Linked DNA regions of Canis lupus familiaris. The protein of the gene in region 1 interacts with the protein of each later gene in a pairwise test. Links are inferred from orthologs where the notes say so. Each region holds a gene or a part of one and is shown in the gene's direction. Other genes may lie near its edges. The genes, in order: NIPBL and MAU2.

Region 1 (3,393 bases):
TTGGGGTGTTCAAGCCTATTATATTCTCCTCAGTTAAATTATATTCAGTATTATTTTTTAAAAATAATCTCTCTGAAAAAAAAATAATAATCTCTCTGCCCATCGTGGGGCTCAAACTCATGACCTTTGAGATCAAGAGTCACATACTCTACTAACTGAGCCAGCCAGGCATCCTTTTCCTTACTTAAATTATGATTACTGCTTTTTCTCTATAGTGGCTTAACCTATGTAACAAATCAATACTTTTATAACCAATTTATCTTTCACCTCTATCCTATAACAAAAGTGTTTCCCTTTGATATTTGATAAGGGCTTTTAGGGAGGGGGTAATCAGAGTGAATTCTATGTGATTTTGTTTAGTCTTGGAACCTAATTGTTGTTTATGGAAAGTCAGAGTTTCAACATATAAAATACTAATTTAGAGATGCTTTTTGAAGCTTGTGAATAGAGCATAATTTTTTTAGTGGTATTTTGTTACTATTTTTCCTTTTTTTTTCTTCTTTTTTTCTTTTTTTCTTTTCAGTCAATGGTAAAAGACAAAAGGAAAGAGAGAAAATCATCACCTAGTAAGGAAAATGAGTCAAGTGAGAGTGAAGAAGAAGTTTCCAGGCCTCGGAAGTCACGGAAACGTGTAGATTCAGATTCAGATTCAGATTCAGAAGATGATATAAATTCAGTGATGAAATGTTTGCCAGAAAATTCAGCTCCTTTAATTGAATTTGCAAATGTCTCCCAGGGTATTTTATTGCTTCTGATGTTAAAACAACATTTGAAGAATCTTTGTGGATTTTCTGATAGGTAAGGTTACACATAAGCAATGAGAGAAAAAACTTTACCCTGTTCAAATTATAAAGAAACATGAAACCCAGTTTTGACTGCGTATTTACTTTCATATTAAAAATGTTCCTTTTGGGATCCCTGGGTGGCGCAGCGGTTTAGCGCCTGCCTTTGGCCCAGGGCGCGATCCTGGAGACCCGGGATCGAATCCCACATCGGGCTCCCGGGGCATGGAGCCTGCTTCTCCCTCTGCCTGTGTCTCTGACTCTCTCTCTCTCTGTGTGACTATCATAAATAAATAAAAATTAAAAAAAAAATTTTTTTTAATAAAAAAATAAAAAAAATGTTCCTTTTATTAAAAAAAAATGTTCCTTTTAAAAGAAGGAATTTGTTCCTTTTTGTTACTATATAGTATTTTGTTGTGTAATATGCCACAATTTGTACATTCATTTATTGAAAAGAGGAAAAGCATTCCCTAGTTGCATTATAAATGAAAGGACTTATTTTGTTGATTTCCTTAAATAGATCTTATTAGAGAATTAGGATAATCTTAAAATAGATTGCAAATTTAAGTTTTTAAAGAGCTGCAAGTAAAGAATAGACCAACCAAGCTGAACTCAATAGAACCCAAATGGTGTTAAATGTTGGCAACTAATTAAAAATAATGTAAAACCTTGTAAGGTCTTGGGGCGGTGCTAAGAAGTTGGGAAGATTTTTAAGCCAGAGTTGTTAATAATATGAAACAGATTTGTAAACATTGTGGCTGCTGTGTAGAGGATGAATAGTTGGAGGGCAAGAAAGTAGGAGGTAAACCAGTATTTATATTGAAACTGTTCTACAGTCACAATCATGGTATTCAAAACAGACATGAGAAATTACTTTCGTTTAATGATACCTCTACTCAAGACAAATACTGATGGAAACGAGAGAATATTACTCTTTTTAATCTTTGCCTTTATGTCTTTACTTCCCTTTTTAAAATTATATTTATTTTTGTGTACAAGTTCACTGGTCGAAATCTGTATGACAAAAAGTTTAATTATTAGTAAATGAAGTTTAACTACAATCACTTTCAATATAAATGCCTGAAAAAATTTTAATGCCTTTGTTTTCCCAAAACAGTAAAATTCAGAAATACTCTCCATCTGAATCTGCAAAAGTATATGATAAAGCGATAAACCGGAAAACAGGAGTTCATTTTCATCCCAAACAAACACTGGACTTCCTGCGGAGTGATATGGCTAATTCTAAAATCACTGAGGATGTGAAGAGGAGTATAGTAAAACAGTATCTAGATGTGAGTAGTAAAACCAAAATATATTTCCTTCTAATAATACTTTTATGAAAAGTAAATTCTTTGGGGGAGATGGTTCTCTCTCTTACCTGGAAGATTCATGAACTTTCAGATTATTTTTCTCTATGTGGTTTTAATGATTTAGGGGAATCTTGCCTTTTCCATTTCACACATTGCATCATATTTTGCCTTAGGAAATGCCAGCCCACTACTCATTTTATTTTAGTGAGAATGAGTTTATGGGCAAGTTTCAGGAAAAAACCATGCCCGCATATGGATTTTTTTTTTAATTCAGTAGATTACATGGTTTATAGTTCATAAGAGCAAAAGTCATGAAAAGTCATCCTCCTGCCCTCCTCAGCCATTCTGTTGTTCTCCTTCCTGGCAACCAGTATTACTACCTATTCATGTATTCTTACAGAAGTATAATACTGGTTTATATATTTGTATCATATATACCATACCCTTACATACATAACCAGTTAACAAATATGTGAGAAAATGTGTGTGTAGAATGTGCTTTTAAAATGACGAATTCATTAGAGATAGAAAATGGAATAGGAGTTACCTGGGGCTGGGGGGCAGGAAGGAAGGGGAAGCTGTTGTTTTAATAGGTACAGAATGAGTTTCTGTTTGGAATGATAAAAAAGTTTTGGAAATGATGGTGATGATGACTACACAACAATATGAATATACTTAATGGAAGTGAATTGAACATTTTAAAATCATTAGAATGGTAAGTTTTATGTGTATTTTACCACAGTAAAGTTTTATGTTTAAAAACATGAAGTTTTGTTTTGTTTTGTTTTGAGATTGTCCCTAAAAAATATATTTTTTATTTTAATCAACTTAAAGCAACTAGCTGAACATAACTAATAATATTTTTGACCAAGAATGAAACCTACACAGGGGCATCTACGTGGCTCAGTCAGTTAAGTGTCTGATTCTTGGTTATGACTCAAGTCATGATCTCCTCATGGCCAGACAGAACTCCACTTTTGCATTCTGCTCCCTGCTCAGCGAGGAGTCTGTTTCCCCTCTTCCTCTCTCCTTCCCTCCTCCACCCACCCTCTCTCCGCTCACGCACTCTTTCTCTCCCTCCCTCTTACTCTCTAAAAATAAATTTTTTTAAAAAGAATGAAATCTGCAATGTTTTTCATATTATTCATAGACTGCAAACCTTATACTCTAAAGCTAAAAATTATTTTCATCCTCTTTTTAAATTGTTTAACATCCTTTTTCTTCCTCTTATATCTTCTTATTTTGGCAGAGGGAACAGAGAACTTGAAAAATGTCTATCAGTAATTCTTTTTTAAAAAATA
Region 2 (4,467 bases), on another chromosome or scaffold:
TAAATAAAATTAAACAACAACAAAAAAAGATTTAAGATAGGAATCTAGGTTTTACTTAAAGGGCTCTAGGGAGTGACAGAGTAGTATTAACCTGACCAACAGTATTTTTAAGATCATTCTGACTACTATTTGGAGAGTGCATGGCAGCAGCAAGGAGACCAATGAGAAGGCTTGCTGGCTCCAAGTAAAAGATGATGGTGTCTTCGGGTGAGGGTGTTAAGTGCAGAGATGGAGAAGAGATCTCAGAGGCTCCCCATGGGACTCAGAATAAAATCCAAATTCTGTAAGTTGATTTTCAGGGAAAGGACTTGCCTTTCTTACTTCCACTTCATTCTTGACATTCTCAGAATGACAAGCCCATCGCACCACAAAGACTTGCACTTGCTATCTCCCCTCTGCGTGGAAAGCTACCCTCCAGGCCTTCCCATAGATGGCATCTCCCCATCTCAAATGTGTTCTGCTCAAAAAGGGCTTCCTTGGCCACCCAGTATCAGCAGCCTCCACTCCCATGCTCTCACATCATTATACCTGTGTCTCTGCAAATATTTCTTCTTGATGCATTGTTTGACGTCCCAGTAGAAAGTAACCTTCAGGAAGGCAAGACCCTTTTGGGTTACCACTGCATCCCCAGCGCCCAGCATAGTGCTTGGCACACAGTATTTGCTGAATGGGTGAATGTATCCCAGGCTGGGGTGAAGGGGAGCTAGGGTTGGGAGAGAGGGAAAGGCAAGGCTTGAGGTAAAGGGGGTGGGGGGTGGGGCTCGAAACACCGAAAAAAAAAAAAAGTCTTAGACCAGTTAGAAAAAGCAGCTTTTTCAGAAAGCTGACACAGGCCAGACAGCAGCTGCTACGAACAGGGGGGAGCTGGACGGTCCAAGGTTGCTGCTGTTTCAGGGAGCAGAGCTCTAAGCAGTCCTGAAGGCGATTATTTCGGAAAGGGAGAGCAGGGCCGACCCAGTGACGGCCTCTACGGAATGCCGGGCAAACCAGGCGGTGGGGGCAGCAACTGAGTCTGGGGTCTCGGGAGACGGGGAAGATGCAGAAAGCCGCCGCTTTGGAACGCCCTAAGGGCTGAGGCGAGGGGCCGGTGGGTCGAGCCTGACCCGAGAGAACGAAACGGGGACGTTTAGCGCGGCGGACCCAGACCGGCGCTTGAGGGTAGGCGGGGGCTGTTACCTGCAACATCCCGGTTGTCCATCTTGAGACTCATCCAATCCCACAATGCTCCCGTGCCACTTGAGAAGCCTTGTTATAGTACGCATGCCCTGATGGGAGATGTAGTCCGTGACGGTCAAGCAAGTCCCGCCGCTGAGTAGATACCTGGGGTTTTTTCCCAAGGAAAACAAACCTCAGTCTATTGGCAATCTCTGTTCTCAGTCCCGCGGACCAAAGGGCATCGACTTTTCGCACACTGCCCCGGAACCGCAGCCGCTCCAAAGACGAACTACATATTCCAGAATGCTCTATGCAGGAGCTCTCGCGAGAGGTGTGAGAAGGGCCCAGCCCCGCCCCGCGCGCCTGCTTCCGCCTCCCTGTGGCGGCGGCTTGTTGTTGTGGAGGCCAAAATGGCGGCTCAAGCGGCGGCGGCGGCCCAGGCGGCGGCGGCCCAGGCAGCGCAGGCTGAGGCGGCCGAGTCGTGGTACCTGGCGCTTCTGGGCTTCGCCGAGCACTTCCGCACTTCCAGCCCGCCCAAGATCCGCCTGTGTGTGCACTGCCTGCAGGCCGTGTTCCCCTTCAAGCCGCCGCAGCGCATCGAGGCCCGCACGCACTTACAGCTCGGTTCCGTGCTCTACCACCACACCAAGAACAGCGAACAGGCGCGCAGCCACCTGGAGAAGGCGGTGAGCGCGGACCCGGCCGCGAGGGAGGAGGCACGGGCTCTTTCCGGGGCCTGGGCTGACGGACTGCGACCCCAGCGGGCAGGGGCCGTCTGGCCCCTCTTCGGGTACCTGGGGCGCGACTTCCGCACGAGCAGCAGGACCCCGAAGCCGCCAGCCTCTCAGGGGACCCGAGGGCCTCTCTCTGTACCTTACTTAGCGTCCCTAGTGACAGGCAGGGCCCCAGGACCCCGCTCAGGGTATTGGAGAGTTGTCTCTTATCAGGAACAGTAGGGTCCCCAGATTCTCCAGGATTTCAGGAGAGTATCATCTGATGGTGCCTATGGGAAGGCCACCAGATCGGCCAGTGGGTCCTGCAGCTTCGAGCTCCTCAGGGCTCAGCCCCGTGAGCATCAGCTTGAACGCTCCCTCCTGAAGTGACTCAGGATAGGGCAGGGCCAAGGTGACAGTCCAGGCATCCCTTGAAAATCTTAAGTTTGGTCTCTCAGGCAACCTAGGAAGCATCCTCTCCCTGGACCTGGAAGTCTGATAAGTGTCTGGAGGGTATTGTGCCTCTATCCCTAATGCAAGGTGTCATAGATGGGAGGCAGAGGCTCAGAGAAAAGAAATTAAAATCCTGTAAGGCAGAACTGAGGGGGGCCTATGTTCCAGAACCATTTTCTACCATGGGGTGGGGTGGGATGGGGGGGGAAATCTCCAAGCTCTTGCTCTCTTTGTATCCATGGTGACTTCTCTTCCTCCCACCATGCGTTAGTCTATTCCCTTCAGAAGAGAGACCTCATCCCCCTATCTTGACTTGTGGGATTTTGGTGCTTCAAAGAATGTGGGAAAGTGGCTGTCATTGTGCCCCTTCTGGCGTTGGCATTGTTTCTTGTCATAGCAACGCTGTGCTTCTGTCAGACCAGGCCTCCATTTGCCGTTTACCTGGCCTTAATTTGGCTTAAGAGATTTCTTTAAAAAAAAAAAAAAATCAACTTAAGTTTTTAAAGTGTATTCATCTGAGGTAAATCCCAGCCCACCTATGTCTAGTCATGAATTACCTTTGGGAGAATATCAAAGAGTGTAAAGAGTTGGAAGGGGACTTTAGTCTTTGCTTGATCACCTTCCTTGTTTTAGGAGTGAGGCAGTATGGGTCTAGAGAGATGAAGTGATTTGCCCAAAGCTACACATCAAATTATTAACAAAACTGTCTCAAATTTGGGCTCAGGATCGGCAACTTCAGTGCCTAGACAATAAGTCATTATGGTTTTTATGAAGTTTTTTTTCTTCTCTTCATTCAGCAGATATTTATTCAGTTCACACCAGGTGCCAAGCTCTATTCTAGGTGCTGTAGATCAGTGATGACTAAAATAGTCCCTGTCAACATGAGCTTATGTTTTTTTGTGTGAAGGAGACAAACGTTAAATGTGTAGTAAAAGGTTAGGCAATGATAGAAGAGCCATGGAAAATATGATCCAAGGTGAAGAGATGGGAGTTGATGGGGAGCTTTTTTTTGGCAGACGTAGTGAGGAAAGTCTATCTGTAGGAGTGACATTTGAGCAAGCGTGAATGGGATGGGGAAAGCAAACCTGGAGAACGACTCAGGATGTCAGGTTAATCCCAAGAGATGCCTGAGCTGTGACCAGTTGGTGTAAGGTCTCTCCTGGGCAGTGATGAGGCTGAGATCAAATGGAGCCCCAGACTTCCCTGGGTGTGGGCATGTTGGAGACTGACTGCTCAGGCCTCATGGCCCAATGCTTTCAGTGAATTGGGGTCCTGAAGCTCTCCCTTCTCTGAATTAACAACAAATCTTGCCACCCTCTTCCCTTGTCTTGGGGGGTCATTCAGTCCTTTTTTTTTGAGCAGTGGTTCATAGTTGTATGTATTGTCACATTTTGCCTACCCAGTGCTGTGGAGGGGAAGCTGCCATGCCTCAGATTGCTTCCTTGGAGCCGCTGGGCTTCTAGATCCATAATTTAAACCATTATGCTTGTGAAGTGCCTTCCCTTGATTTTACAGAACCCTGAATCTTATGGGGTTTTCCACACAGCCACAAGGTCCCCCTCTTTAGCTCACACTGACATTGTACTTGGAAATCCCTTCCTTCCTGTCAGTTGCATCCCTAGCTAGGAATTTGTCCAGTTTTCAGTTAAAGTGCTTTTCTCCATGCTGTTTTCTTCTGCAATTGTATGTAATTTCCTATTGTGTTGCAACACAAGCATGTTTCTTTAATCTTCGTTCTTTGTTAGTCCTGTGATCCCCCCCCTCCCCACACTCAGGCTGCTGTCAACTTCGTTCCTTTCCCAGGTTCACTCAACAAAAAAAATTATAATACGTTCTTCTTTTATTAGTGGTTTGTTTCTAGTCCTGAAGAGCAAATGGCCAAATAGGTTTCCATTTCTTATTAGGGAGTCAACCCAGAATATCAAAAAGCATTTTTTTAAAGATTTTATTTATTCATGAGAGACACAGAGGGATAGACATTTTGTGACTGTTTTCTCCTTGATCATTCCTCATGCTGTTTTCTGAACTAATTTTCTGTAACTTTTGAGTGCTTCAGGTAAAACTTTCAATGGGCCTCCTCACTTACCACCACATTTGGTTTCCTTCTTACCATCTCTTCTGTTTTCTCTCTGAGAAACCCCCAACC

Evidence for each region.
Region 2: the proteins of NIPBL (region 1) and MAU2 interact in binary tests that used the Homo sapiens proteins (3 or more experiments, as listed by UniProt). The link is inferred for Canis lupus familiaris from reciprocal best matches to the Homo sapiens genes NIPBL and MAU2.

What each region holds. Positions count from the first base shown.
Region 1 is NC_049225.1:72,496,186-72,499,578, reverse strand, and holds part of NIPBL (nipped-B-like protein), read left to right. Parts: intron 1-523; coding exon 524-798; intron 799-1,899; coding exon 1,900-2,074; intron 2,075-3,393. UniProt on the Homo sapiens protein: Plays an important role in the loading of the cohesin complex on to DNA. Forms a heterodimeric complex (also known as cohesin loading complex) with MAU2/SCC4 which mediates the loading of the cohesin complex onto chromatin.
Region 2 is NC_049241.1:44,298,740-44,303,206, reverse strand, and holds the start of MAU2 (MAU2 chromatid cohesion factor homolog), read left to right. Parts: upstream 1-1,515; 5' UTR 1,516-1,565; coding exon 1,566-1,841; intron 1,842-4,467. Other genes in the region: SUGP1 (SURP and G-patch domain-containing protein 1), read right to left, coding at 1,177-1,210. UniProt on the Homo sapiens protein: Plays an important role in the loading of the cohesin complex on to DNA. Forms a heterodimeric complex (also known as cohesin loading complex) with NIPBL/SCC2 which mediates the loading of the cohesin complex onto chromatin.